4 linked regions of the Diceros bicornis minor genome follow. The protein of the gene in region 4 interacts with the protein of the main gene of each other region in a pairwise test. Links are inferred from orthologs where the notes say so. Each region holds a gene or a part of one and is shown on either strand. Other genes may lie near its edges. The genes, in order: SUV39H2, RAB22A, CRADD and APPL2.

What was found.
Region 1: the proteins of APPL2 (region 4) and SUV39H2 interact in binary tests that used the Homo sapiens proteins (3 or more experiments, as listed by UniProt). The link is inferred for Diceros bicornis minor from reciprocal best matches to the Homo sapiens genes APPL2 and SUV39H2.
Region 2: the proteins of APPL2 (region 4) and RAB22A interact in binary tests that used the Homo sapiens proteins (3 or more experiments, as listed by UniProt). The two-hybrid records come from large-scale screens. The link is inferred for Diceros bicornis minor from reciprocal best matches to the Homo sapiens genes APPL2 and RAB22A.
Region 3: the proteins of APPL2 (region 4) and CRADD interact in binary tests that used the Homo sapiens proteins (3 or more experiments, as listed by UniProt). The two-hybrid records come from large-scale screens. The link is inferred for Diceros bicornis minor from reciprocal best matches to the Homo sapiens genes APPL2 and CRADD.

What each region holds. Positions count from the first base shown.
Region 1 is NC_080775.1:15,426,381-15,434,305, forward strand, and holds the start of SUV39H2 (histone-lysine N-methyltransferase SUV39H2), read left to right. Parts: upstream 1-4,916; 5' UTR 4,917-5,001; coding exon 5,002-5,026; intron 5,027-5,055; exon of another isoform or gene 5,056-5,407; intron 5,408-7,647; coding exon 7,648-7,793; intron 7,794-7,925. UniProt on the Homo sapiens protein: Histone methyltransferase that specifically trimethylates 'Lys-9' of histone H3 using monomethylated H3 'Lys-9' as substrate.
Region 2 is NC_080758.1:5,347,423-5,354,814, reverse strand, and holds the start of RAB22A (ras-related protein Rab-22A), read left to right. Parts: upstream 1-4,397; coding exon 4,398-4,433; intron 4,434-5,431; coding exon 5,432-5,511; intron 5,512-7,392. UniProt on the Homo sapiens protein: Plays a role in endocytosis and intracellular protein transport. Mediates trafficking of TF from early endosomes to recycling endosomes. Required for NGF-mediated endocytosis of NTRK1, and subsequent neurite outgrowth.
Region 3 is NC_080764.1:28,287,124-28,293,994, forward strand, and holds the start of CRADD (death domain-containing protein CRADD), read right to left. Parts: upstream 3,019-6,871; 5' UTR 2,928-3,018; intron 1,680-2,927; 5' UTR 1,674-1,679; coding exon 1,376-1,673; intron 1-1,375. UniProt on the Homo sapiens protein: Adapter protein that associates with PIDD1 and the caspase CASP2 to form the PIDDosome, a complex that activates CASP2 and triggers apoptosis.
Region 4 is NC_080764.1:18,726,878-18,734,332, reverse strand, and holds the start of APPL2 (DCC-interacting protein 13-beta), read right to left. Parts: upstream 3,021-7,455; 5' UTR 2,900-3,020; coding exon 2,846-2,899; intron 1-2,845. UniProt on the Homo sapiens protein: Multifunctional adapter protein that binds to various membrane receptors, nuclear factors and signaling proteins to regulate many processes, such as cell proliferation, immune response, endosomal trafficking and cell metabolism.

The sequences.
Region 1 (7,925 bases), on a different chromosome or scaffold from region 4:
AGTGAATTACATGGAAGAAAACATAACAATGTCATCTTTGTATCCTACAGGACAATGGCCAGTAAAGATATCTTTTGCATATTTTATGGTTTGGTTAGAAACACAATAAAGAAGGAAAGAAATACCACCACTTCTGACTTCATTGGTCAGCTTTGCATGATTTTTTCCCCAAACATATCAAATTTCACATTGTCATCAAAAGTGCTTTGTTGTGGAGCTGGCCCTGTGGCTGAGTGGTTATAGTTCTATGCCCTCCGCTTCTGCAGCCTGGGTTCGCAGGTTCGGATCCCGCGCACCGGCCTACATTGTTCACCAGCCGTGCTGTGGTGGCATCCCACATGCAAAATAAAGGAAGATTGGCATAGATGTTAGCTCAGGGCCACTCTTCCTCAAGCAAAAAAAAGAGGAAGATTGGCAACGAATGTTCGCGCAGGGTGAATCTGCCTCAGAAAAAAGTGCTTTGTTGCCTAATGAAATATACTCCCAAATTTCCTTATATCTTCAGGTGACTAAGTTTTTTCCTTCTGAATTTGTGGAGCATTTGCCAATTAAATTTTCTAGGGTTTTTTTATTTTTTAAGGTGAAAATAGCTTTAACATTCTTCTGATTATAAAATGATACATGTTCATTATAAAATTAAAAAAGAAGAAAATATAAAACATCCTATATTCTACCACCCAGAGTAACAACTGTTAAGATATTTTTGGTGAACATCTTGATAATCTTTTCATGCACTTGCCAGTTATCTTTGTAGTGTCACATATATATTTAAAAACTTCACTTTTACCAGCAAAAGCTTATATGAAATTGTAATTTTACCTGTTTACATGTCTGACATTGTCTAAAGGACAGAGCCAAATATAAAAATAGAAATGCCTATCTATAATACTGTGAAAGTCTTGGGAGGCCACAAAATATTTCATCACAAACGGAAAGCTTTTATCTGTGTAAGAGCTTTTAAAGATAAAAAAAAAAAGTATCAGAGCACAAAACAAGTTCTATGGGAAAATGTCAGGATTTCTAAAATAACAATGAGTGACCGTGTAACATTTATAACAATACTACTGTTTATTTCCTTTAAGTTATCTCATTTTTTAATTGTGATCTCACCACGGCTCCATGAGTAGTTGTAATATGTAGAGAGTAGTATGGTGTGTATTTTGTTCTAGACGTGGAAATAGATTCAGAGAAGTTAAATAATTTATCCAAAGTCTCACAGTAACTAAATGGTGAATTTTGAACTAATATTCAGATGCTTTTTTTGTAAACTTAAGTTTTCTTGACCGCTTACTATTCTGAGCACATTTTGTGCATTATTTTAATTAAATGGAATAGGAGACTCTCCATGGACCTCCAGAAATCATGTTTTCAATGGTTTTTATGGAAAAAAATTGGGCGGGGGGGTGGAGGCATAATGCTGTATTGTCCCCTTGAGGACCCTGGTATGTGTCTCTCGGTCGCTTTTGATTTCCCTCTCCATTTAGAGCCAGGGTTTACCAAGATCCTCACCCTTTTTAGTCTCAAGACTCCTTTATACTCTTAAAAATTACCGTGAACCTAAAGAGTTTGTGTTTGTATTGGTTATATATATATAGTTATATAGTTATATAGTTATTTACCATATAGAAATCAAAACCAAGAGATTTTTTAAATAATCGTTTTTAAATAACAAAAAACATTACATGTTAACCTAAGTAACATTTTTATGAAAAATAACTTCAAAAACAAAAATTTAGTGGCAAGAGTGTTATTTTATGTTTTTTCAAATCTCTTTTAATACCTGGTTTAAGAAGATAGCTCTATTCTGGTATCTTCTTCATTCAATCTCTTGCAATATCCACATTGTATAACCTCTGGAAAACTTCACTGTATACTTGTGAGAGGAGAGTAAAGAAGGCAGATAGCATCTTGGTAGTATTATGAAAATAGTTTTGAAATTATGAGCCCCCTGAAGGGTCTCAGGGTCCCTGTACCATACTCTGCGAGTCATTGTCCTTGATAGTATACACAGTCATGCATGTTGAAGAGACAAGGCCTAATCTATCCCCTGGAATTAATGGGATTCAAGACTAGAAAAACAAAGGAAACAGTAGATTTACAGACGAGTCTAATACATTCATTCTGTAAATGTGTACTGAAACTGATCAAGACCCAAAAAACAGGGTAACTGCAGATTTTGATAAGTGCATTTAAGGGTGCAAAGAAGAGAGAATGGAAGACGGGAGGTACCTACTTTAGATAGGGTGACCAGGAGAGGCCTCTGAAGAAGTGACATTTCAGCTGAGACCCATAAAGGTAGCCATATGAAGAAAGCGAGGAGCATGTCCTCTGAACTAGGAAGTAATTGAGAGTTTCCTAAAGTTATTTATTTCCTTGCTTGTTACCTGCTCCTCCTGCTAGGATATAAGCTTTATGAGGTCAGGGTCTTTTTCTTTCTTGTCCCCTGTTATATTCCCAGCACCATGTACAGTGCCTGGCACATAGGAGATGCACAATCAAAGATTTCTGAATGAGTGAAAAAAGTCCTAGAGAAGAGTGAGCAAAGGGGAGGATGGCACAAAGGAAGGTTGGGGAGGCAGGGTTCCAGGTACAGAAGGCTGTGTAGGCCGTCGGAGGTTTGGATTTTATTCTACGTACATTGGGAAGTATTGAGAACAGGAGAAGGACGTGTTCCACTTTATGTTTTAAGGTCACTTTTCAGCTGTATGGGAAATGATTGGAGGGGAGCAGTAGTGGAAGTGAAACCAGGTAGGCTTTTTCAGGATTCCAGTTGAGAAATGACGGCCTGTGCTAAGGTGGTATTAGCAGTAGTGATGGAGAAAAGAGGCCAAATCAAGGTATATTTTGAACATAGAATTGACACAACTTGCTAATGGAATTAACTTAGAGAATCAGGAGAGGGTGAATCAAGATGACACCTAGATTTCCTTGTAGAGTGAGTGGGTGGTGTGCCACTGTATTGAGATGAGAAAGTTTGTGGGGCATGCAGTGGAGAGGACCACATCTGGAGGCAAAAATGAAGGGTATTTTTAGGAGTATGTTCAATTTGAGATGTTTGTGCAACACCTAAAGGGATCTGTCAGCTAGGCACTGTGGATGTTCAAGTCTGGAACTCAGGGCAGAGGTCAGGCAGGGCTGGAGACAAAACACAGAATCTTAAGCATAAAGATGATATTTAAATCCATGGGAATTGAGGCAGTCACTTAGGGAGAGAGCAGAAGAGAAACGTCTTGGGGCCAAGCCCTGAGGAACACCAGCATTTAGGTCAGATAGAGGAAGAGGAGCCAAAAAGGGGAGTCAAGAGTGGCCAAGGAGGTAGAAGGAAAACTGAGAAAGAAATTGAGTAAGGATGGATGCTCATGGGGTGCTGTTAGGATATCCAGGAGGGCGGTGAGTACATTTGGGGAGGGGCGGGGGGAGAGAAGCCCTGGGAAGGAGGTGAGGCTCTATCTAAGTCTTAAAGGGTCTGTAGGAGTAATCCTAGCAAAGATGGGGAAAAAGTAGGCATTTTGTAGGCAGAGAGAACAGGATTGACCGAAGTCCTGGGGACAGGAAATGGGTAATATTCGAGGAAGTGACGAATTAGAATAGGAGGAAATTATTAGCAATGAGGTTTGAGAAGTGGACAGGAACCACCATATCACAAAGGGCCTTCCGTGTGAAAGGGCTGGATAGGACCTTTATTCCTTATCATCAGGGTAATAAGATGCTCATTATAGAAAATGCTTCAATATGTAAAAACCACAGATCAAAAAGGAAATCGTGCCCCAGAGGTTTTATATTTATCTTCCTATAGTACATTGTTTCTTACATAGTTGAAACTGTATTTTATAGATTTTTATTGTTTGTTTTGCTTAACATATTAAACACTTCCCCAATACTAAAGCCTTCATAAACATTTTTTAATGGCTAGACAGTATTTCATAAGGGAATCAATTTAATGTTCTGTGTTTACTTCCAGTGTTTCAAATTTATACATGATGCTTTGAAATATTTTTGTAATTTTTTACATAAATTTCTTTTAAAAATCCTTGGTAGATATCAAAGGACTTTCCACTGAAGTTTTCGCAATTTCGTCTTCCAAGATTTCTGCTTTGGATTGTTGAGAACAGTCACCATGGATGCAGTGTGAAGACTGGATGGGGGCGGGGTGGGTGGCGACCAGTTAAGAGCTCCTGGAGTTGTCCTGGGGAGCGGACGTGGGCCTTACGCAGCCCTGCCACCAAGGTGTGGCCCCCGACCTCGAAGCATCGGGCACAGCCTGGGACCTCGTCAGAAATGCAGACCTCGGGTCCCAGCCCAGACCTACCTAATTCGAATGTGCTATTTAACAAGATCCCCAGATGATTCCTGTGCCCATTCACGTATGAGAAGCACTGATCTGGACCGGTGGTTTCAAACTGTGCTGCACACTAGAATCCCCTGGGGAGCTCTAAACCTCCGGTGCCCAGGTCACACCCCATACGCATGACATCAGTCTCCGCGAGTGGGGCCAAAAAACAAAACCTCTCCAAGTGATCCCAGCGCGCAGCCAGTGTTGAGAACCTGGGATCCAGGGGAGGAACGAGAAGGAAACGTAATGGTCAGTTGGGCTCAGGTGGCTGAGGAACAGGCCTGGGAGGGAAACGTACTCTGCACCATACAGCTCCGCTCTACGGTCTGAATTTTGTACAGTGTGCACGGAGTGCCCGTGTAAAAGAACGAAAAGGCCCGCGGAGGCCTGATGTACGGCCCGGAATGGCTCGCTGCGCGAGCCCGGCTGAGCGCCCCGCCCCCGCCCGTAGAGCCCGCCCCTCGGGGACGCGCGCCGGGATGCGACGTGGGGCGCAGGCGCGCTCGCCGCCGCGGCCGGGGTCGGGCCCCGGTGACGTCAGGACGCCTCGCGGGTTCCAGCCCGGAGCCCCGGCCCCCGACTCCAAGTGCGTGCCGGGCGGGGGCGGGGCGTCAGGCCCGCTGAGCTATCCGGTCCGACCGCGCCAGTTTGAATGAAAGCTCCCCAAGATGGCGACGGCCGAGGCGCGAGGAGGTGAGGCGCCCCTCACCGTGCCCCGCGCTCTAGGCAAACTCCCGAGGCCCGGGAAGCGGGGCCGGGACCCGCGGGCCCGCCCGAGCGCGACGCGGCGACACGCCGCCTCCCGCGCTGCTGACACCTCGGCCCCCACATGGGCGCCCCCCTTCCCGCGGCCCCTGACCCTTCTCGCGGCTCGGCCCGCCCGCTCCCGGCAGTCTCCTCCTGCGCCCCGCACCAGCGGCGCCCGGCCCGCGCGCCCGGCGCCGGGGGCGCCTCCCTCCCGCCCGGCCGAGGTCCTGCCGACTCGGTGGCCCGGCCCCCGCTGCCCGGCGGGCCCGACGCCCCTCCCCGCCTGGCCGCCGTGCGGAGGTGTTCGGGCGACCACCGCGGCTCCGGGTAATCCCCTGGGGTCGGGCCTGTGGGCACGCGCGTGGCTGGATCCTTTGTGGTGGTCGAGCGGGGCGTGTGGGGTGGGGGCTGGCCTCAGCCGGGATCCGGAGGTACCCAGTGGTGGAAATGTGAGCTCAGGACCAGAGGGAAAAAAGAAAGGGGCTGAAGTATGGGCGCTGAGAAAGGAAGTGAGGGTATACCCCAATTCGGACGCACTAGGAGGCTAAATCCCTCGTTGGAGAATATCCTAGAAAGTGGGATTTGAGCATATAGTCTCTGGCTTACGGTCATTTTTATACCCCCCAAGAACTTGCATGTTATTCATGTGGATGCGAGAGAATTAGGTACTGAAAGTGGGTGTGTGTCGGTGTCGCGCTCTCCGAAAGACTGGAGCCTTCAATGCATTCTAGAATTTTAAAGGTGTTTTCCAGCACTGCTCCTCTCCACGTAGATTATGAACTCATAATCCCCAAACTTTTCTTGCACTAGGGGTTAGTGTGAACTAGTGTGGTGGTAGTGGTAATGCAATGTTTAATCTTGCAAATGAATTCTTTGGCTACCTTCTTATAGACAATCGGAATTGTTACCAAGTGTTTGCAGTTTTTATGTTCCAGTTTTTCTTATTCTCGAAAATAGCATTCCCGTCGAGGGTTGTGTCTTGAATCCTCACGTTACTTCAGCTAGATAAAAATGGTAGGAACAGCAGACAAATACACCTTGGGTAGATAAAACAGGAGGCTCCTTTGCACGTGATCAGCACAGTGAGGTTAAATTGACACGAAACATCCTGAAGTTGTTTAAATGGAAGGGATTTAAGGGGTCGTTGCTGTTCTACCACTCTCCTACCCCAAACCACCACTCCAAAGCAAGCGACCTCTTCCCCCAAATTTTTTGGTGGAAAATGTTGTTTCACTTCTTGGTCTAGAATTATGAGTCCTTTGTGGGAAGGGGGGTGGTGGAAATCGTGCTTCAGGGTTTCTGACAATGAAGTCCGCGTGTGAGTTGAGGAGGGTCGGGAAAGGATATAGTAAGAGGAGCTATGTTCTCTGTTCCCTGGAAATCACCTCAAAACAGAAAAGGTTACCACATCTACCTTGGAGAGCTACCACGTAAAGTTTGAGTTTACTGAGAGATTTTGTTTTGGTAACCCCCATTTACTCCAACCCTCACATTTTTTTCAGTGAATCTGAAACCCAGAAAGATGTTTGAAACCTCACTAAGATCATGTAGCTAGGTGGCCTAGCAAAGGCTGAGGCAGAGGACCCTTTATCCTCTCTAGTGCTTCCCATAACACTAGCCATAAAACCAAGTTTATTACATATTTCTAAACCTGTTTGTGTTAACGTATTTTATATGCAGTATGGTGGCATACTGTTTACAGAAATTTGAGGGTAAAATCTTCTGCAGCACAATTAGTCAGTGGCTTGGTAAGGTTGATTATGAGTGTGTCTGATTTTCTTCAAGCTTGGTATATGGATTATGTACGTTGAATACTCGTAATTCTTGGCTTTAAAAACAATACAGGAAATGAGTATTAGGAAAATAAATATACTCCATTATTTTACTTTAACTCTTGGGTTTATTCACCTTGATAATAATACATTGTAGCATGGGCAAAATAATAAGTGGAATTAAAATTTCATGCAGCATTCCAAAGTGGAAGAAGTAGGACATATGATGTACGAGTATGTTGACTATAGAACTGTATTTCAATGAGATTTCAGTGTTTATTGTCCAACTAAGAGAAAGGGAAAAAGTTACTTTTTAACAAATTATAAGATTGTTTTAAAATATATTTGATATATTTCTAACAGTAATAAGTATGTCCTAGAGATCTACAGTTATTAAAACAACAATTATATTCTATGTAGAATATAATGGAAAAGTCAAAAACATCTCTGTTGACTTTTGCATCATATTATGTGTAATCTTAAGAAAGCTTACAGGCGTGAAACATTTTGTTCAGGTGGCTTAGTAGAAATTAATTGACATCAGTTAAACGTAGTAGAATAGAGACCCATGAGAAAATCCAAGACGACAATTTACCAAAATAGTTCTTCAAGGCTTAACTTTTTCTTGAAGACACATAAATGGTTCCTTGTCATATGAATTTTTAGTCCTGTAAAATTGCTAGTTGAAGGGTGGGAATATAGAGGTCTTAAGTTTTTCCTTTTCTTTTTTTTTTTTTCTTTTGTTTTAATTGAGTAGCTATTTCATTAGTAAAGAATTCTATTTTCTTATTGTAGCTTGGTGTGTGCCTTGCCTAGTTTCACTTGATACTCTTCAGGAATTATGTAGAAAAGAAAAGCTCACATGTAAATCGATTGGAATCACCAAAAGGAATCTAAACAATTATGAGGTGGAATACTTGTGTGACTACAAGGTAGTAAAGGTAAGGCCAATATCTAGCCCCTTAAAAGAGACGTAATCAAACTTCAATTCAGTATTTCATATTTCTGTAACATAAAAAGAACCTTAAAAGTAAGCAAAGCTCTTCTTAATGTTTAAAATTCTAAACCGTAAA
Region 2 (7,392 bases), on a different chromosome or scaffold from region 4:
GTCTGTGCCCGGGATTTGAACCGGGGAACCCCGGGCTGCCAAAGCGGAGTGCCTGATCTTAACCACTACGCCACTGGGCCAGCCCCCTAGTAATTCTTAATATAACGGTAATTCTTTTTTTTTTTTGTGAGGGAGATTAGCCCTGAGCTAACATCCGATGCCAATCCTCCTCTTTTTGCTGAGGAAGATTGGCCCTGGGTTAACATCCATGCCCATCTTCCTCTACTTTATATGGGACACCGCCACAGCATGGCGTGACAAGTGGTGCATCGGTGCGCGCCCAAGATCCGAACCCGCAAACCCCAGGCCCCCAAAGCAGAGCGCTCGCACTTAACTGCTACGCCACCAGACTGGCTCCTAATGGTAATTCTTAATATAATCTAATACCCAGTCCAAGCTCAATTTTCCCCAACTGTCTCAATAATGTCTTTTTATAGCTGGTTTGTTCAACTAAGGATCCAAATACGACCACATATTGTATTTTGTTTATAGGTCTCTTAGGTCTCTTTATATCTGCAATAGATTCCTCTCATTTTTTTTCACCCACCACTGGCATACACTTAAATTCTAATTGGCCAAGCAAATCATACCCAGAGTAATACCTCTTCAGCCTCCACATGCTCTATGCAAACCCAGATATTCACAGGCCTTTGAGCCCCTTAGGCACAGACTCATACAGCTCTACCTTCCCCGCACGATCCACCACCAGGACCAATACGCGAGGCCATCCCACACACTTTCTGATCTCAAGAAAAGGAATTTAGATTGCTTCAGCAAGCTAATTCTCTAAAATTAAATCTCTTCTGCACTGCAATGGCCAAAAGACTCTGAATGAGTTAAAAAAACAAGGCATCCATTCATTATCGCTTCTTTTCGAAGTTAGCCAAATTTAATTAACAATCACAAAGTAAATCAGACAAGCCTCATAATCCATTATCGGTACTAGTGACGTTAACTGAACACCTACATCATGCAGGACATTGGGTCATAAAAAAGATGACCTGTGTCCCTGTCTAAAGGCGACTTATAGCCTAAATGGAGCAGTTATCACATTCACATCATTTAGACAAAAATGCCCAAGGAAGACAACAAAGAACCACCCAAACTGACATCCAGGCCCCTACCATTAGGTTAAGAATATTCGTGAAGTCGATCTGTGTGGTGAAATAAAAAGAACAAGAGTCAGAAGGAACAGAGTTTGATTGCTAGTTCTATCATTTATGAGCTGTGCCACACTGGATAGGTTACTTAACCTCTCTGATTTTCAGTTTTATCATCTGTAAAATAGGAATAATCCCACGTACCTCACAGAGTAGCAGCTTTTAAAGAAAAAATGAATGAGAAAATCTTATATGAAAGCCTAGTAAGAATGGTGATGATTAAAATAATAAAAATAATAAAATCATTGAATATAATACTCATTACGCCAGGTGCTGGGCTAAAATGTTTTATGTGTACTATCTCATCTAATCCTCACATCAGTCCTACGAAGCATTTCCTATTCTTACGCCATCTTCCAGATGAAGAAACTGAACAGAGTGAGTGAGTGATCTGCCCAAGCTGACACAGCTAAAGCAGAAAGTGGGTCACAGGAACTCACTGTTCTTGCTGTCAATCACGGTATGATAATGCCTGCCTCCCAAATACCACCCCAGTAAGGCATAGAGGTGAGACCCAGGCCCTCATACTGTGGCTATTACATCAATTATATTGTAAAGTCATAAGGTACAGCATCCCGCAGCCCCAACCCCTGCTCAAACAGGAAGCCCCAGGAGGCTCCCAGAGCTGCCCTACCCAAGGTGTGGGTACTTTCAGAACCATAACGGTGGTTTCCTTCGTTACCTGGGCAAGACTTCAGTCGTCTGCTAAAGAGTATTTAAGGCCTTCTTGATTACAAGTCTCAAACACCCAGTATTTGTTCAAACAGGGCCAAAGTAAAATCATAATGATTTTTTCCTATATAATCTCTTACTTCCTTTCTGTACATATACACAAAAAAGACTGAAGGAAGCTAGCCGCAGGGAAAAAGGTCCAACTGCCGGCAGGTGCCATGCTTTGAGCAGCCCAACCTAGCCAAGTGGAGAAGGCTGCTGGAGAGAGCTGAGGCCGCGGCCAACCATCCCCGCAGATCTCCTGGCCGACAGGCACGTGAGTGAAGCCTCTTCGGACCTTCTCACCTCCCCAGAGTTCAACTTAGAACACGAGAAGCTTCTGTATCACCCAGTTAACCCACAGAATTGTTAGAAATAATAAAATGCTGTTGGTTTAAGCCACTAAGTTTTGGGGTGGTTTGTTAGGTAACTGAAACAGCCAGAAATCTGCTTTTCCAGCTAGGCCAAATATTAAATCTATGAATGAGAGATGCCTTAACAGCAGCTCACCGTTGTTGATGAATAGAAACACTACATTCCTTCCAGTCGAGGATGCCCACTGGCTTAAACATTCAGCTCTGTAAACCCGGGGGGCCTACACTGTTCCTGGCTCAACAGTGTTAAATAAATACGAATAATGATCACATTAATAAAAATTATAACGGCAGCTAATCTTTACTAAGTGTTTCTTACAGACAAGGCTTCGCGCTAAACCTTTTATGCACTTAACCTCCACAAAAGCCTTTTGAGGTGGACCCCTATTATGCCCTTTTTATAGATGAGGCCACTGAGGCTCAGAGTGGTACAGTGACTTGGCCAGGATCACACAGCGGATAAAGAGTGGCCCAGGACTTCACTCTCTGACCATCTGACTCCAGAACCTGTGCTCCTAAACAATCGACTTTATTGTCTCTTCAAGTGTCACTCCACTTTAATAAAGTTGCTCCGTCTAAAAGAGATAATGTGTGTAAAGGGTTTACACCTGTGCCCGACCTGTGGCAAGTTTTCAAAATACACCCACTCTTATTATTAGGAAACTGGTAGATGGGAAGGGAAGAGCATAGCAAGCCCTGATTAACACTAGCCATTTTGATGGTCTGTACAGGCCTCCTTCACCAGCAAGCATGCCCGGGGTTTGGTAATTTTCTGTTTAGAAGTCTGCTCTCCCCCTGGCCAGTGAGCTCCCTGAGGGCTGCCCCTGTTTCTGGTTCATCTTTGTAGGTCCAGGATCCGGCAGGTGACCTGGCCCAGAACAAGTAGGTGCTCAAGAAACTGCTGAATGAATGGGAAGGAAATGCTTCACTCACCACAATGGGAACCTGCATTGCCAGGGTGACATCTCCCCCGGCCATCGGTTCTTAAAGGGATTCCAACGGGAAGGAGAGGGCAGGAAGTGAGAGGGGATGGAGACCCACCCGGGAAATGCGGGCGCCAACGGGCTCCTTGGGATGAGAGATGGAGCTGGGCTGGTGGGCAGGACACCTGAGAAATCTGTGCCACTCTGTGGCCGGCCACACGGAGAGCCAGACCTCCCAAGTCCCCAGAACTCTGACAGTCCCGGGGGACAGTGGAGACCCCGGGGGGAAGCCCCCCCGACCCGTGGCCGGAGTCACCAGGACTCGCCGCCGCCGGGCCGCCGCGGGGCGGGGGAGGAGGAGGAGGAGGAGGAAAGTGCCAGGAAGTCAGAAGTTTCCCCACAACAGAAATCCTCCCCTGCCGTCCTCGGCCAGACCTCCCCTCCCGTGAGGACGGACCGCCACAAGTGGATCAAGGCAGCTGGGGGTCCCGCTCTCCTGTCCCAACACGGAGGGCCTAGCCGGTAGCTCCCCGCTCGAGTGCCGTGCACCCCGAATTCTGTGGGATGCTCCCAGGGAGGGGCGGGGGCGCCCCAACTGTTACTTACAATCGTCTAAGTCATCCTGCAAGTCCACAAAGTACAGGGGGATCTCTGAAAACCAAGAGACACACAGGGGTTACGAGGGGGCCGCGGCGGGCGGGCTCAGGTGAGGGCGGGGGTCCCCGTCCTCGCCGGGTGGTCCCGGCTGGGGGAGGGGGTGCCCCGGAGCCCGGCCCCACTCACCCGCCATCTTGGGATGGGCATGGAGGCGGGGCCGGGGGCGAGGGGCGGGGCCTCGGGCGAAAGGCCCCGCCTCCGGGCCCGCCCCGCGGCCAGCGCGTCCCGGAGAGCCTCGCGGCGCCGGCCCGGCCCCGCCCTCGCGGCGAAGGTGGCTGCCGAGGTGGGCGGGGAGGTCAGGTGACCCGGCCGGCGTCCCAAGATGGCGGCGGCAGCGGCGCCCGGGAGGCCGCGGCACCATCCCGGCTGTTGAGGCGGCTCCCGCGCGGCTGGCGGCGGACAGGCCGGGCCGAGGGCCCGCGAACGGGCGGCCGCCGTCTCTGCGCGCCCCGCGGCCGGGGCTGGGCCGTGCGGCGGCGGCGGCGGCGGCGCCGGGGGATGCTCGTGCTGGGCCCGGCCTCTCCCTCCTCCACTTAGGGCGGCGGCGCGCCCGCGCCCCTGGCTGCCGGGCCATGGCGCTGAGGGAACTCAAAGTGTGTCTGCTGGGGGTGAGTGGCGGCGGGCCGGCCGGGCGGGCCGCGGGAGGCCGGGCGGCCGGGGACCCCGGCGTGCCCACGTCCCCTCCGCCCCTTCCCCCCGCCTCCGCGCGGGACGCCGCCTACCTGCCCCGGGTCCCTCCATCCTGCCCACCTTGCCGCACCCTCCTGAAGGTCCTGTTGGCAGGAGGGGCCCTCCCTTTTCCCCTCCCTGGAGCCCAAGGACTCTTCCCGCCCCCTAAAGGGTGAAGAGCCCTCGCTGTCTCTCTATTGCATCTAGGTTAAGAGCAGCTCTTAAATAGTGTCCTACCAAGGTACTAGTTAGGAGTTGGCCAGGTCTTCCGAAGTGAAACCAGTGACAGGTCTTTAGGTTTTAAAGCAGCAGTAGTCTCCTTTCCCATCTGTTTGGTGTTTTTGAACTTGTGGGATACCCCTGACACTTTTCGCAGAGTTGCTTTCCTGCGAGGCGGGGCGGGGGGGGGGGGGGGTGACGTGCAAATCAGGAAGCTCCAAAGACTAGTTTGAAGCTCCAGCTTCCTGTCTTGTCAGGGCAACTTTCCCATTTCAAAGCAGGCTTTCAGAAGTTGATGCTCTCTTGCTTGAGTTGCTGCTTTAAAGACTGAAAAAGATCCAGGAAAGTCTTCCCCCTTCCCAAATAGGGCGGAGCTGGGATTTACTGGGAATTACTCAGAAGTAATTCGAGAGTTCGTAGTTTACTTATACATGTTAAGAAGTGAGTTTGTCACTTTTCACACTAAGTAGAAACTTTGAGTCTTTCAAAAGGTCCTAAGGTCTCTTAAAAACTGCAAAACCCCCTCCTAGGATACATTTTGAAATCTCCTAATTACTCCCACTGAATTTTTATGAAAACCTTCTTTACATCCCTTAACTTATAAAATTTACCTATCTAGAGTGATTTTTATAAAATCCTGAACTTATGGCACAAAGTAGTTTTCAGTGTCTGCAAGCAGGTAAACTTTTTCTAATTCGCCCATGTCGTTCTCTTTCAGGATACAGGTGTAGGTAAATCGAGTATTGTATGGCGCTTCGTGGAAGACAGTTTTGATCCGAACATCAACCCAACAATAGGGTAAGAGATTAAGTTTACTGAATATATGTCTATAGGTGTATTGAGAGTCTTTCCAAGTAAAAAGTTTGTTACAGGGGTAGGCATGGTTGTTTTACACTCTAGTGACTTCGGAGACAGTGGTTCCCATCATCTCTGGAAAGACTTTGAAAGAATACACTGAAGGTTGGTGTGTTTTAGAAAAATTATCTTTTGATTTGTGAGGAGTGAAAACTTGAAAATGAAAATATGAATTCAAGTTTTACTTATTAGAATATACATGGAACCTTCTATCTATATCTATCAACAGCAGTTACACCTTGAAATAAGGCAAAAGAAAACAGATTCTGATACTATTGTTTCAGGCATGTCAACTAAAAGGTATTTAGATGGTTTTAGTTCTTCCTGAAAAGTAGGAGGATGGGATCCAAACCCTTCTCACACATTACTGCACTAGTAGTAATAATGAATTAATACATTATTGTTGAAATCTAAGATTTTTTCAGTGTCTAGTTCTTTGAATAAGTAAAATTGGTTGGCTATAGGTTTTCAACTCTGTGAGAAAACTTTTTGGTATTTAAATATCGTAACATTAATACTTTCTCTGTGAGAAGCTGTGTTTTATAGATTTTAATACAGTTAGATTTGTAAAACTACATAGCTGCTATGCTGTTTTTATTGCAAACCTCCAAGCAAATGGTTTCTTCCATTTAAAGAAGAATTCTATTCTGCCTAATAGAGAAATATTTTATGGCATACACATACACATTTGAAGGCATGGAGATGAAACCACTACTAACTTTCTGAAATTAAAATGCCTTTCAGTATCCCTCGAGGAAGAACTAGGTATGTCCACATGTTTAAAGCATGAGCTCATCCTCCTCAGGGCCTGCGTTGTCGCTACCTGCCTGGGAAAGTGAAGTGACAGGAAGTGATAGCAAGTAGTGCTAGTGACTCAATGAGTGACACGCTTCCCACCGAGTCAGAACTAAAAACACAGCTCTGAAATACCCAAAAGTCACCTTGGTTAGAAGTGCTCTATCAGATAAGGAGACAGGAAAATGAAGGGTATAGCTCCAGCAGTCATGGTGAGGCCTGCAGCCCTGTCCTGGGCGTCCCCTCCTCCCTGTGTGCCAGCCCTCCCAGCCTGACAGATGCTGGGGTTTGTCCCACTCGCCTCACCGGGCAGTCTTGGCTCACATTCCACAGGAAAGAGCAATGTGGGGCTTTTGCCCCCTTTCCTTCCACCTTCCCATATTTCTTTTTCCTCAGCCTCAGCAAGTGTCTTCCTCCTTCATGACCAGGTACCTACACACCTGAGCTCTGGAGCCCCCCTCGTCACCAGTTCTCACCTGTCTTCCCCAGCCCTGCCTTCTGGTCATAGCCTGCAAATATGGTCCTAATCTACCTGCTCCACTAAGTCAGCGTCGTTCCCCAAGCCTGCCACACAAATTGTGGAGCTCGCGAAAGGGAGGTCACTACTTCCTTGACTGCTGCTCCCTCCTCAGCCCACTCTCATCCCGATTCCACTCCACCGTGCCACTAAAACCATCTTCCCTGGGTACCAGCTTCTATCGCGTTACCAAAACCAATGGCTTTTTTTTCTTTATTCATTCATTAAGTGCCCACCGTATTCCAGGGGCTAGACAGGCTGCTGGTGATTTAGACCAGGGGTCAGCAAACTATGGCCCTTTGGCCCACCTCCTGTTTTTGTAAATAAAGCTTTATTGAAACACAGTTACACCTGTTCATTTACATATTGTCTCCACTGCTTTTGGGCTACAGTGGCAGAGTTGAATAGTTGTGACTAAGACCCTATGGCCTGCAAAGCCGAAAATATTTACTCTTTGGCCCTTTTCAGAAAAAGTTTGCCAATGCCTGCTTTAGATAAACGCTGTCCTGCCC
Region 3 (6,871 bases), about 9.6 Mb from region 4:
ATCTCCCCAATTCAATGTTATTTATTCTGCTTTCAATAAACTGGTAGAAGTGTCTTAGATACTTTAGTTTGGCTTTATTCACACACCTGGAGTATTTAATTTTGTAAAGACAATCCAACCCAAGAATTCCTGTGGTCCTCAAAGGCCAGCTATTTTCAGTATTTCAAAAAAGCCTAAAACCTACATTTACCTATAATTTGGCCACAAGGGGAAATGAAAATATTTTTTCTTTTTCCACTGGGACTTTACTAGGCCTTCCTAAGTTAACTGGTTATCTTATGCTGATCAGATATTCAGACATATGTCATTAATAAAAATAGAAGAATTAATCAGGATTACTTAACACAGGTGGTCTGGAAAATCAATCAGAATATGAGGTCCATGCGGCAAAAATAATAAAGGTGGTCTTTTATTACTGGTATTTGTTTTTTAACCAGTTATATTGGTATTTAAAAAACAGCAACAGCAAAGTCGGGAGACCACTGACTTGGAGTAGTTTATCAAACTACTAGTTTGATAGTAGTGATAGTAGTTTGCTATCAAAAACTCCAGAGAATGTTGATTTCCTAAATCTGTTAAACACGCAAGTCAACTTTCAATTTTTTTTTCACCAATTCAGTTCTCTGCTCCTTAATCTTTGTAAAAAGGAAAAGTCATGGGAGGAGTTAAGAGGGAACAAGTGTTTCATATCATACCTTCTTCCTGTTACAAGCCAGGCTAACAGCACCAGAACTCTCTTTTCCATAGCTTCCAATTTTCCTTAAAATCAAAATGAGCCCCTCCTCAAACTACTGTCCTTACAAAACTAAATACTCCGGGTGTCTGAAGAAAGCCAAACTAACAAGGATGACTTGAAACCAATAACCTTTAAAAGCAAACTAAGTCAGCCTTCCAAATTATCCCCTCTAGCCATGGAGGGCAGCCCAGGGAACAGGTGTAAGGTGTGCCTTCCTAAAGGCTGTCTCCTCCTCTATGAACCTGACCTCTTCTTGCCGGCAGCTCTGGCACCCCATGAACCAGTTATCAGTAGGCCTAATGCCTGCTTTCCCATCTGCACTTTCCAATGGTCCTGATGCCAACGACCTGGCTCTTGGATGAGAACATGCCTCCCAAGTGACTTGCCAAGTTTCCCTGGAAGCATTTCTAAATGTATTCTCTGAGCTCCCTCCTGAACCTCTCAATCATGCTTCATCCTTCCTTCCTTCCCTGCACTTCCTAATTCCACCTCCTCATCCCGTCCCTCCAATGCCACGTGCCTTCAGTCCAAACTCCTTATTCACTTTCAGGAACCGCCATCCCCCTCCCAGCCTAAAACCCCAACTTCAAATCCAAAGGACACAGTTCCATCAATTCTGGAGCTCGTCTGAAGGCCTACCTGCAGGCAGCTCAGTTAGGGCTTCTTCTCTTGCCTTCTCCAGCTTCTCCCTCACCCAGGGAAATTCCTGCAGGGAATCTAGGAACGCATCAAATGCTTTAGGACCTCTGGAAGGTAGGATATCCAGCAGCAGCATTGTTTTCCGGAGGCCTGTGGCTTGAGCTTTGATTTCTTGAACGTGGTTTTCCGTCAAGACCCCTTCCTGGTAAAGATACTGAAGAACCAGGCCCTCCACCAGTACCTCTGCACCCAGCTCCAGGCGATGGGAGCGCAGCACTTGCTTGTCTCTAGCCTCCATTTCCTCCTGGGAAAAGACAAAATCCACAGCTCAGATTACAGGAATGCTGTTGAGCCCCTACAGATGGGGTCCTGCAATGTATGCTCCTTAAGGTCATGGATATCTTTGAATCTTACCAGAGTGCCAGGCCACGGTGTTTCATACACGGCTCTTGAGCCAAGCCAAATTAATTTCAAATGTTTCTAAACATAATGAACAACACTGAACATGAATTATCTTTTCTGTTTTTGCTTTCCACATAATGGGTCCTAGCTCAATTCCTTGTTCAATAAAGAGATCTGGAAAAACGTGAGGTCAGAGACCCTGCTTATAAAACAACTTGTATCTGAGGATTACAGAGCAGCATTTCATCTTAACACACTTGAGAAGAAACAGTGCTTTTATTTTAACATTGCCTTCATCAGAGATACCCCACCACCACAGAAACTGCCAGTACGCATACAGGTGCCCTTTGGACCACGGGCATTTTTAGAACCTGATCAGCAATGGGAGTGGGGCCAGAAACCTGCAGGTACCAAGAAGTTTAAGGATCATCTCCCCCATGAGAAAAGGCCTATACACCATCACGAAAAACATTTACTAGTGTTTGTGCCCAGTCTACAATAAACCTTATACATAGTCACAGACTCCATCCCTTCCCTCTAAGAATTCAGAATCTCCATCACAACACTGCCGTGGCCACACACATATGGGTCACTGAATGGGATTTTTTTTCTTAAAAAAAAAAAAAAAGTCCACAGGCCAGTCCCGGTCAGTGGCCAGCAGGACTGCCCGGCATATTTCCAAGACCACTGCACCAGGGAGCTGAGGGGCGGGGGTGTGGTGGCTATGAGGGTAAATAAGGGGAGGCGCGCCCCCCGCCCCTGTCCCTCCTAGCACCCTCTGCGAAGTCCGGGAGGTGGCAGGGGAGGAGGAGGATGCGCACTTCGGACTGCTAGCGCCCATGTGGAATTTCTCTTTATTCCCTGCCTCGCCAGCTGAAGCCCTCTTGTATTACGAAGAGAAAGAACTAGGAGAGATTTTCCGGGCAACCTGACTCGCTAAAAAGGGGGTGCTGGGAATGATCTTCAGAGCGGACCGAGGGCAGAGTGGATCCCCGGCACCCCCACCGCCACCCCACCCCGGGCCGGCTCTAGAACGCCGCCAGCAAGTTAGGGGGGGCGGGGGAGCCAAGCAGGGCCCAGGCTGCAGACGCCACGGCGCGGGACCTTGAAGAAAAGATGGATACGGGGTTTCTGGATTCCTGTTACTTACGTCTGCAAACACGTATCTTAGGGGAAAAAAAAAAAAAACTGCAACCGGAATCCAGACTGTTAGGGAACCTGTACCATAAGCGCCATCTTTGTTGAAGGCGAAAGCCCTGAACAGGAAGTATCGTCGCCATCTTTGTTGAGGGCAAACACAGGAAGTGCTGTAGCCATCTTTATTGGGGGCCCAAGTGTCAGACTGAAGCCCTTTCCGCCATGTTTGCTGTGGGTAAGCGATATAGCTGCCTGGAGATGGAAAATAGTTGCATCACTTAGGGGGTTATCTAAGCAAAGGAGTGATTGGATGATTGCTTTTTAACACAGTAACTCTACCAGTACCTTGCACACAATTGGCATAATAGATAGTCAGGTTTCAAAAGTCACCTTAATCAGCGAAGCCTTCCATGACCCCTCTATTTAAAATTGCAACACACTCGCATTCATTTCCTGCAGTCTCCTTCCCCTTTTCCAGCTTTATTTTTGTCTGTAGTATGTATCGCCATCTTACTAAAACTTTTGCTTAATCATTTATTTATCATCTGTTTCCCTTCACTAAAATGCAAGGTCATTTCTTTATATCACAGTGTGCCTGCCGGTAAATAGTTTACAAGTCAATCAGTCAGGATTCAGTTGCAGCCATCAGCTAGCTGCTCTAGACAGAAAGGGATTTGCCATAGGAAATTGGGGACATTCACAGTCATTGGAAAGGCTGGAAAAGGTCTGGGCATCCAAGGATGACTCCCTAAACAGCACTGCCAAACTGGCTCCTGGCCATAATCAGGAAGTTGGAGTCAGGAAGCCACCACTCCACAGTCCCAACCTTTTCTCGACACTGACAGAGCAAGTGACTGGACATTGGAATGCTCCTGCAGAAAAAACAAGGTCTCCACAGCTGTATTTGCCAGCAGCATCAAAACAGCATCTGCAGGGCCGGCCCTGTGGCTTAGCGGTTAAGTGTGTGCGCGCTGCTACTGGCAGCCCGGGGTTCTGATCCCCGGCGCGCACCGACACACCGCTTCTCCCCCCCGTGCTGAGGCCTCGTCCCACATACAGCAACTAGAAGGATGTGCAACTATGACATACCGCTGTCTACTGGGGCTTTGGGGAAAAAATAAAAGGAGGAGGTTTGGCAATAGATGTTAGCTCAGAGCCGGTCTTCCTCAGCGAAAAGAGGAGGATTAGCACGGATGTTAGCTCAGGGCTGATCTTCCTCACAAAAAAAAAAAAAACAAAAAAACAAAAAAAACCAGCATCTGCAAATCTTACTCTGATGCATGCAATTGGTGAAACCTAATTCACATGCAGAACATCAGCAGCGAGGGTGTGTGAGGCATGTAGTTTGGAGTTTTCCAGCTTCTGAAGCACAGAAAGACATGCTAAAAAGAGAGAGGGTCTAATACTGGGGGCCGATCTGCTGAGTTCACCACATTTTTAATTTGGAAGGCAAGACAAGTGCAAGATCCAAATATAGAGAGATAAAATAATGTCAAATTGAGGGTCCTTCCTCACATTTCTTTATGAAATGAGGCAATCAACAAATATTCATTGATTCACTTTTAAATCAATTGGGTGATATATACAGAAAGTCATTCACCTGCTAAAAGTTAGTTGACAGTAATAGACAAAACCCTCAAATATCGTTATTTCTATAGAGGTTTTCACAACCAACACCTCTAGTGGTGTTGATGTTTCATCATCAACAGTGATGAAACTAGTGAAGATGAAAATATCTTTGTAAGCAAATCAATGGAGAGCAATTCTAGACCTCCCTCCTCAAAACCTTCGAATTTTTGTAAACAGTTTAAAGTGTTACTATGCCAATATACCATTTTACTATACCAGCAGTGACAATATTTTTATATGGATGGCAAGTATTATTATTATGATTAGCATTTTACATATGTGAAGACTGAATCAAAGTGGGCAAGTGTCTTAGCCAAAATCTGACAGCTAATACATAGCAAAACCTGAATTCTAACCAGTTTCCTCTGATTTCATGCGCTTTCGAGTACACAGTACACCACACAGCCCTGTACGGTAAGAGTCTCTTGTTCTTATGACAGCCAAAATATCTGCAAATCATTCTGGTGCCACCTCTTACTCTTGGTACTTTTGAATTCCAGGTACTCTCTTCACTCTCTCCCTCTTCTTTTGTTTTGGAATTGCTGTCCTCTCCTGGGCGAGATTGCCCTCCTGTATGTAAACAAGTGTTAGCAACATTCTCTGTCTTCCTCCAGATAAAATGCAGACCTCTTGTGATACTACCCATAGCTGAGGTTACAGACTTTTAGGGGAGGAAAAACAAGTGTATTTTTTCCAACTGTAAACTTTGATAATTCTTAAACATATAGTAAAGTTGAAACAAGTAGCACAGAAAATAGCCAGCCATGTAAAACTACCTAATTTAAAACATCAACATTCTTGATGACTCGCTGTATTTAGAAAGGCTTGAGATCTCCTGGAAAATAGAAGAAGACATTGATGATGTCCAGGAGGAGGTAGAGAGCCAACAGTGTGTTCCATGACAGTTCACAGAAGAGAAGACAAGAGAGTGAGAGACAGCATGAGAAGAGTTAGTGCAGGAGCTGAGAGGCATGGAGTTCTAATGGTGAACAACCTGAGAGGTTGGCTATTAAGGATCTGACTTAAATCTACGGGTGAAGTTCTTGACCATGAAATTCTTCTTCCTATGGCAAATTTAGATGCACATCCATGCTGCCTCCTAAGCAACCATGCTGGGTTTCTGATTGACTAGCCAGCTGCCATCAGTCAGCTTGCTGGAGGACCACCACCCCGGGCTAGCATACAATGACACATCTGAGCAGCACACCAAAGATTCAGCCTCACTTATATAAATATCTAAGGCCAGCAAGCCCCGAGAGAATCAAAGACAGATCAGAATCACTATCACAGATGGTCACGCCTCCACTCTGTCCAGTCCCTCTCTGTGGGCTGGAATTGTGCCCCCACGGAGGATTAAGCACCTGTTACCCAGTGGTAACAAATCCATTTTTAGGAAGGACAGATATTTTCCTTTTTCTCTCTCCCCACCATATTTACTTGTGTCAAGATATACCCATTGTGAGTCTGCAAAAGAAAGAGTCAAAAAGAACAAGCATAGGGGCCAGCCCAGTGGTATAGTGGTTAAGTTAGCATGCTCTGCTTTGGACCCCCAGGGTTTGCAGGTTTGGATCCTGGGCGCAGGCCTATGCACTGCTTATCAAGCCATGCTGTGGCAGGCCTCCCACATATAAAGTAGAGGAAGATGGGCACGGGTGTTAGCCCAGGGCCAATCTTCCTCAGTAAAAAAAAAGAGGAGAATTGGCCACAGATGTTAGCTCGGGGCTAATCTTCCTCACCAAAAAAAAAAAAGAGAGAGAGAGAACAAATGTAGTGTTTTTCTGTCTTTCAGTTTGGTCTTTGGTTTTACAACCTTCAAAACAAAAATCAAAGGAGTTGGATATTTTTGGTTCTTCCTGTTTTACAGATGTGGAAATTAAGCCATGGAGAAAAACAGATTCTTTTCAAGCACACTTGAAACTGTTACAGAAATAGGTCATGAATCGAGTCTCAAAGAAACTTCAATAAATTCCAAAAAATCAATAGCACACAAACTATGTATCCTACCATTTTACAATAAAGTTAGAAATTTTAACAAAAGGATAGCTTCCATAAATCCCATACGTTTGGAAACTAGGTGCAACAAATCTTAAACTCTTGAGTTAAAAAAAAAGTCACATATTTCTATTGGCACAGCCACATGGAAAACAGTATGGAGATTCCTCAAGAACTTAAAAAAAGAACTATCATAAGATCCAGCAATCGCACTTCTGGGTATATATCCAACGGAAATGAAATCAGTACCTCGAAGACATATCTGTACTCCCATGTTCCTTGCAGCATTATACACAACAACCAAGTTATGGAATCAACCAAAGTGTACATCGACAG
Region 4 (7,455 bases):
GCTTCAGTTATGCCAACTGCAAAGGAAACAAACAAACAAAAAACAAAAATCAAAACAAAACAGCAAGCAAAGTGCTTTTGTCTTCACCTTCTCTGAAAAGCACACTACTTACACACAAGAGAACAAGCCCCTGAAGTATGAGCGGCAGCAGCTCGAAGCTGCACCTGTGCTCCTATCACAGCAGTATTCCCACAGTACTGGAACTGCTGCTTTCCTTATCTGTCTTCCGGAACAGACTGTGAACCAGTGGAGGGCAGGCACTCTTATCTTGTGTGTCACTACCTTCCCAGCACCTAGCAGCACCTGGATAGGAGCAGAGGCTCGCAAACAGCCATGGAGACGAGCATCTCAATCCCTAAAACATTCTGCCTCTCATGTACCAGAGGCAACCAGAAATGACACGTGTATGCACGCAGACTAGTCTTAAACGTCGCCCAGTAATAAAAAGAGGGAAGTGAACAGATGTGTCTAAGGTCAGTCAACTGCTAGTCAGCTCTTCTTGGGTCACTGAGTTCAAACACAAAAGCTCTTGTGTCCATTTAACAAACCCTGCGCAACCAGGTTACTGGAGCAACCCTCATAACTACTCTACATAAAACTAGAGGAAACAAACAGTAGACAGTTTCTTAGGATCTTTTCCTTCTAGTGATACAACACTTTAGGTCACCAAGGACACAAAAGCCAAGTGCTAGGTAGCTGGGCTACAGGCAGACTGCCTTGGTTCCAGTGTATAACGTGGGCCAAGTTACTTAACTTCTGTGCTCCTTGGTAATTTTAATAGAGAACCTACTTCATAAGATTGTTGGGAGGATTAAGTGAGTTAATACAGGTAAAACATTTAGAACAGTGCCTGGCACATAAAATGCATGCGTGATACAGGTGTTTGCTATTGTTTTCATTCTTTACACATAAAACTAAGGAATTGGATTAGATTCCTTCCAGTTCCACGTCTGAGTCTACTTGGGAGTAAAGCCAAGTTAGGCACATGCCCCACACAAGAATGCTAAATAAATATGCTCTGATGATTATCAAAGACCTTCTTGCAAGTTAGCTTCCATTCAACAACCTCACCAAGAACCCTCGTAGGGTGACATCCAAGTCTCAAAAGCAATGACAAATTCCCTACATTAAGAACATTAAATAGGAATGACAATGCTTCTAACTCTCCTCTTCCACACACAAGCTCAAAATCATAAACCATGCAGATATGATAGAATTTTAAGTTTGTAAAGACCCTTAAAGATAATCTGCTCCATGTCCTTCATTCTGCAGATGAGAAAACGGTCACAAGGTGGGGACAAGCGACTTGCCCAAATCACATGGTAAGTCAGTGTTACAGCCAGAATTAGGACACAGGTCTCCTGACTTGTTTGCCAGTCCTCTTCCTGCTTCCTCACAGCTGAGCAAATACAGTAAACCACTCAGAAATAGTCCATATTCATTTATGGGAGAGCCAAAAATTCAGACTGGGACTCATTGGTGAGGGCAACATGGAGAATCAGTGCAACCTCTCTAACCTGGCTCAGCCATCACCATGTTGTTAGGAAAGCAATATATCATTGAGCCTCAGTTTCTCCAACTACAATGCAAACGCAAATCCTTGTTCAAAATGATATCATTAGAAATTCTAATTATCTTCAGATCCCAGACAATATATGTGAGGATGGATGAAATGACTTCTACCAAGGGCTTTGGTCCCACTAAAATGCCAGTAGTCTAGAGACTTCAAAGAGGCCTTTGAAAAGTTGATCAGACCAGTGGACACCAATTAAAAAAAAATCACAGCTTGCTTACTTTTTCTTACTTGCCTACGTGTAAGGAAGAACACAAAGAAACGGGCTCAAGGCTACTAAGCACACAGCCCTTCTGACTACTTATTCTGAACTGGAAAGACACAGAGTGGGTGTAGGATCGTCCTGGGAGGACAATCACTAAGAAAAAGGGAAGGAACCAAAGAGAGAAATGAAACTGTGCAAGGAAACAGGTTAATCTCATTCTAATTGTTTAAGAGTCAAGACAGTAGGGAATCAAGAGATTTATTGGAATAACTCAGGGATGCAGAACCACGAGAGCAGATATGAAGCTGGGGAAAGGTTAATGAAGGAGAACAAAGGTTCCCCGGGGAAAGGTGCACTGAATTATGAACTAAGGCCCTCTGCACTCATTTGCTCTATTTACACATCAGCTTTCATCCGCAGAGCTCAAAGGACTTGCCTCTCACCAGTGTGCTAATGAAGTTCTCCAGTGCGACAAATGGGGCAGGTATTGTAATCTTCTCTTCACAAATGGGAAAAGAGGGCCAAAGGGAGGCCTGGTACCGCTGGGAAAGAGATCCAGGCCCTGCCTCCCATTATGGCCTTAAATCCACCAGGTCCCATCACATCAGGAGTAGCAGTAATAATAATAAATAAGATTAACCCCTTACTCTGTTATCAGACACTGTCCGCTAACAACTTTACTGGCATTTCCTTATTTAATTCTAACGACTCGAAGAGGCAGGTACAATTATTATCCCTATTTTACAGATTACAAAACTGAGGCACGAAAAGATGAAACTATCTGCCCGAGGCACTCAGCTGCTCAGTGGTGGAGCCCGAGGTGAGGCCGGGCAGCCCCAGTTTCAGCTGCCGGGAAAAGAGGTCAGGACGCAAAGGCTCCGGCCGCGGGGGTGTCCCAGAGCTCTCCGGCTCTGCCTGAGGGATGTCCCCTCCTGAGTGTCCCGGGCTCAGGCCAGGGCCGGGCGCACTCCGTCCTCGCCTCCGCCGGGGCCCTGCTACTCCCTGCCTCCCCGCGGGGCTGGAGGGGCCTCCTCGGCCGCGAGGGAGACCGGAGCGGCGGGAGGTACCTGGGGGCTGTCCTGCAACGCCTCCTCTAGCAGGAGCTTGTCCACAGCGGGCATGGTGCCGCACGGCAGGGCCGAGGGCCGGTGGAAGGATGGAGGGCGGGAGTCGCGGCTGCCGAGGCTGCTCCAGGCTCAGGCGACGAGGCGGACGCTCCGTGCCCGCGGCCGCCCCGCGCACGCTCACGCCTGGCCAGTGGCCGCCGCCGCCCTCCCGCCGGCCCTCCTCTCCGCCCAGCCCTTGGCGGGGGCCGCATCAACAGGAAGTGTGGCGAGCGCCCGGCCGACCACCGGAAGTGTGGCGGTCCCACTTCCGGCGCGCCCGCGCCTGCGGGCCCCGCAGACCCTCCGGGCCAGCGCGTGGGGTGTTCAGCTCCGCGGTTCCGGAGCTTGGGTGCTTGTACCGGTCAATGCAAATACAGCCCAAGAAGGGGAACTCCAGGGCGGACTGATAAGGTTTTATCTATTTGTGGCTCCCCAGACCCAGAAAACTTTTGAATCGAAGGAGATAGGAGCGAACAGATTTGGCTGCTGTGACTCTCGCCACTTTTTTAACGGAAGGAAAACTACTTCCCACACCACTCTTTCTAGATAAATCTCAGCGCCCCTGGAACAGCTCTGAGAGCAGGAAGGTCACCTGATGCTAGAAAAAAATGGATAAGTGAATCATCTGTGATATTCAGAAGTAACCATTTGGGAAGCCACAACTATTTGGTTTAGGCAATATAATTAGGTCTCGTCCTCATGGTATGTTGTGTTTTGTCATTTTGGAAAATTTCATAATCCCGTTTGTAGATTGGAAGGGTTAGATGATCTAGTTCAGTGTTGTCGTTTAGAGATAAGAAGAGGGGACCCAGGGAGTGGAGTGAGTTGGTCAGGGTCAAACAGTTAATGAAAGCCAGAAGAGAAGGAAGGAAAGCGGGGGAGGGGGCGCTGGGGATACTGGCAAATGAAACTCCACTTCTTTTTATACCAAAGGCAAGGGTTACAGAAGTTCCTTCTTTAGGAATCAGTAAGATTTATCCAATAGGACACGTCACCAAAATCAACAGGCAGGGTATCATAAAATTATACAAATTCTATGTTCTGTAGAAATATCTAGGTATATTAAGGCACAATCTGAATTGCAGACACCTCTGAAAGTCTGATTACAGTCTACCTGATCACTTGAAAACTCCAAGGCTGTTGTTGCCAGTTGACGCTAGGCAGCACCAACCTTTCCTGAGCCATTGTATGGCCTCCAGGGGGAAGTCATCCAGCATCGTTTTCGCCATCATATTCTTTCTTCTTCTTCTTCTTCTTTTCTTTGTGAGGAAGATCAGCCCTGAGCTAAGATCCATGCCAATCCTCCTCTTTTTTTGCTGAGGAAGACTGGCCCTGGGCTAACATCTGTGCCCCACCTTCCTCCACTTTATATGGGATGCCGCCACAGCATGGCCTGACAAGCGACGTGTTGGTGCGCGCCAGGGATCCAAACCGCGGCCCAGCAGCAGCACAGCGCGCACTTAACCGCTTCGCCCCGGGGCAGACCCTCTTTCTTCTTCTTGGATAGAAACATGCGCACGCCATGTTTCTTCCTTTTCCTGTATTTTCTATCAAGGATCATTTCAGTTAACTTCACCTCGTACACTCTCTCAGCTCTCTCCTGACTGAAATCCTTTTCCACAAGGCCAGACCCAGGCTTTTCCTTCCTCCTTCCTGGCCCTAAAGATTACTCCCTTCTCTGAACAGCCATGACCTTGATTGTCATCCAACATGCCTTAGCCATAGTGCCTTTTCTTTCTATGTGTAGGTCTTTACTCCCACTGTAAATAGTAAGCCTTTCAAGAGCATAGCATGTCACCTTCCTTTTATTCTGAATACCGTGACACATGATAACAAACACAATGTTTGCTGTTTATGACATGCTCATCTGTTCCCACTAGAGCTCAGAAATCCCTTTGGGAATCGCCACATTTTTCATGTGCCACCTCGTCTTCTAATTAAAGTTACTTTTCCTCAAATACCAGTATTCAAAATTGTTTAAACCATGTTCTTACACAATGCCATTACTTTTCTGTGTTTTACTGCTACACTACAGACTAAATAACCTTAGTGGGATTTCTCAGCACTTAAGTATCATTTATAACATTGTGTGGGAAAATGCATCCCAAAATCAAAACAACTAAGTTACAAAAGTAACTCTGAGAATACAACACATTTGTAAACTGTTAATTTATTTCATTCACTAATTCATCCAACCATTCATTCATTTAATAAATATAGAGTATTCAATGTTAAGCACTGTCTCCCCTTATTTTCCTGTCTTTCACGACTAATATTTTGCTGTCTTTATTATGACTCTCATTTAAATTCTAAAGCCAAATGTCTTCCTCTTAAACAATCTGTGAGAAACTATGTACGAGGAATTTTTACGTAAACATGAGAAAATTTTAAAATGTTTCATTAAAAAGTATCTGCCCCTATTAAACTATTATGAGGGTGGGTTTTAAACATCCACCCAACTGTATCTGAAATCCTTGGACAGTTGTGAGGTTGGGCACAAGAAGTATAAAGATGAACAATTTAGAGTTGTCGTGTCCTCTGGGGAGAGAAAGGATGAACTCTCTGGCTGTAGCCTTTTACCCATTGAAGACCAACTGGGAGAAGGACACAGTGAAAAACAAACAGGTACTCAGGAGGGCTGGGTCGGAGAAAGCCTGGGGCTCTGGGAGTGAGAGAGGAAAGTAGGAATGAGGAAGGCATCTGTTTTGAGAAGATGCTTAGCAAACTGGATAGTAGAGTACCCACATTGTATGCACATTGGGATTCTTTCCTTTGCCCACAATGCCCTTTCTCCTGCTTCTCTGTCTGACAAGCCCAAACACAACCTTCAAATCACAGCTTAATGTGACTTTTTTTGTGAAGCCTTCATTCATTCCCATACCCCCAAGCAAAATAAATCTTCCTTTCCTTCTGTATGTTTCCATAGCACTTGGATAGATAATTCTAGAATAACATCTCTATTTGTTCCCACCCTTGACCTTCCAGCTAGAGTGAGCAGGAACTTTGTCTTCTTATTTCTGTAATTATAGTGATTAGTACATTACCTAGAACAAAAGGAGTTGCTTGACAAATACTTATTAAAATGTAATGTATGTTACTATTTCTTACACGTTAGTACTCCAGAGTTTAAAAAGTGATTTCACGAATCTCATTTCATTTGATACTATAGTGCTCTGAGTTTTTTCAGGCATTCACTATTTAGCATCTACTATATGGTAGATGCTCCTCTAGAGGCTGAGAATGTAGCCTGAAGCAAACAGAAGTCCCTGCCTTAATGGAGTTTATATTCTACTAGGGAGAGAATAATAAACAAATACAAATTGATAAGCATATGATAATGTTTAGTAAAGGAAGAGAGAATGATGGGAAGTGGGGATAATCAGGAAGGATTTGTGGAGGTAGCCGACATTGGAGCTGAGAATTGAATAAGGTTAGCAGGCAAGCCAAGCCTGAAGGGAAGAGCAGGTGGAAAGGCCCTGAGGCAGGCACAGGCTGACTAGTTTGAGGAAGTGCAGAAAGGCCAGTGTGGCTGGAGTAGAGTGAGGCAGGGAAGAATGGGAGGAGATGAGCTTGAAGAGGTGCCAAGCACCAGATCACAGAGGACCTTTAGTCCATGAGAAGGACTAAAGGTCTAAATATAGCAGGAAGCTGTTCTAAATATGAGAGCTGAGTGACAGGGTCCGACTTACATTTTTTTGTGTGTGTGTGTGAGGAAGATCAGCCCTGAGCTAACATCCGTGCTAATCCTCCTCTTTTTGCTGAGGAAGACCGGCTCTGAGCTAACATCCATTGCCAATCCTCCTCCCTTCCCCCCCCCCCCCAAAGCCCCAGCAGATAGTTGTATGTCATAGTTGCACATCCTTCTAGTTGCTGTATGTGGGACGCGGCCTCAGCATGGCCGGAGAAGCGGTGTGTCGGTGCGCGCCCGGGATCTGAACCCGGGCCACCAGCAGCGGAGCGCGCGCACTTACCCGCTAAGCCACAGGGCCGGCCCCCGACTTACATTTTTAAAGAATCTCTCTGGGTTCTGAGGAAGCTATTGCAATCACTGGAGCAAGAAATTTCAAGGTCTAGGTCAAAGTCTAGGGTAGTGGTAGAAATGGTGAGAAGTAGTTGAAACCTGGACATATTTTGAAAGTAGACCTGAGAGAATATGCTGGATGTAGGGTGTGAGAGAAAGAGAAAAAGCATGTGGGAAAACGGTCCTGTGATTTATTGAGATGGGAAACACTAGGGGAGGAGCAGGTTGGTGGTGGTGGCATCAACCATGCTGTTTGAGATGCTTTTTAGACATCCAAGTAGAGGTGTCACATGGGTACTTGAATATGCCACTCTGGAGTTTGGGGGAGAGACAAGGGCTGAGAGTATAAGTCTGGAAGTTCACTAGCAAGTGAGTAGTATTTAAATCATAGGAGTGGATGAAATTTCTTAGGGATTGAGTACAGATAGGAAAGAGGAGAGGTTGGAGGACTGATCCCCAAGAAAGTTCCAGCAGCTAATGAGGTATGAGGAAAATCAGGAGACTATTAAACCATCCTAGAAGCCTAATGAGTAGGAAAATTAGAAGCAAT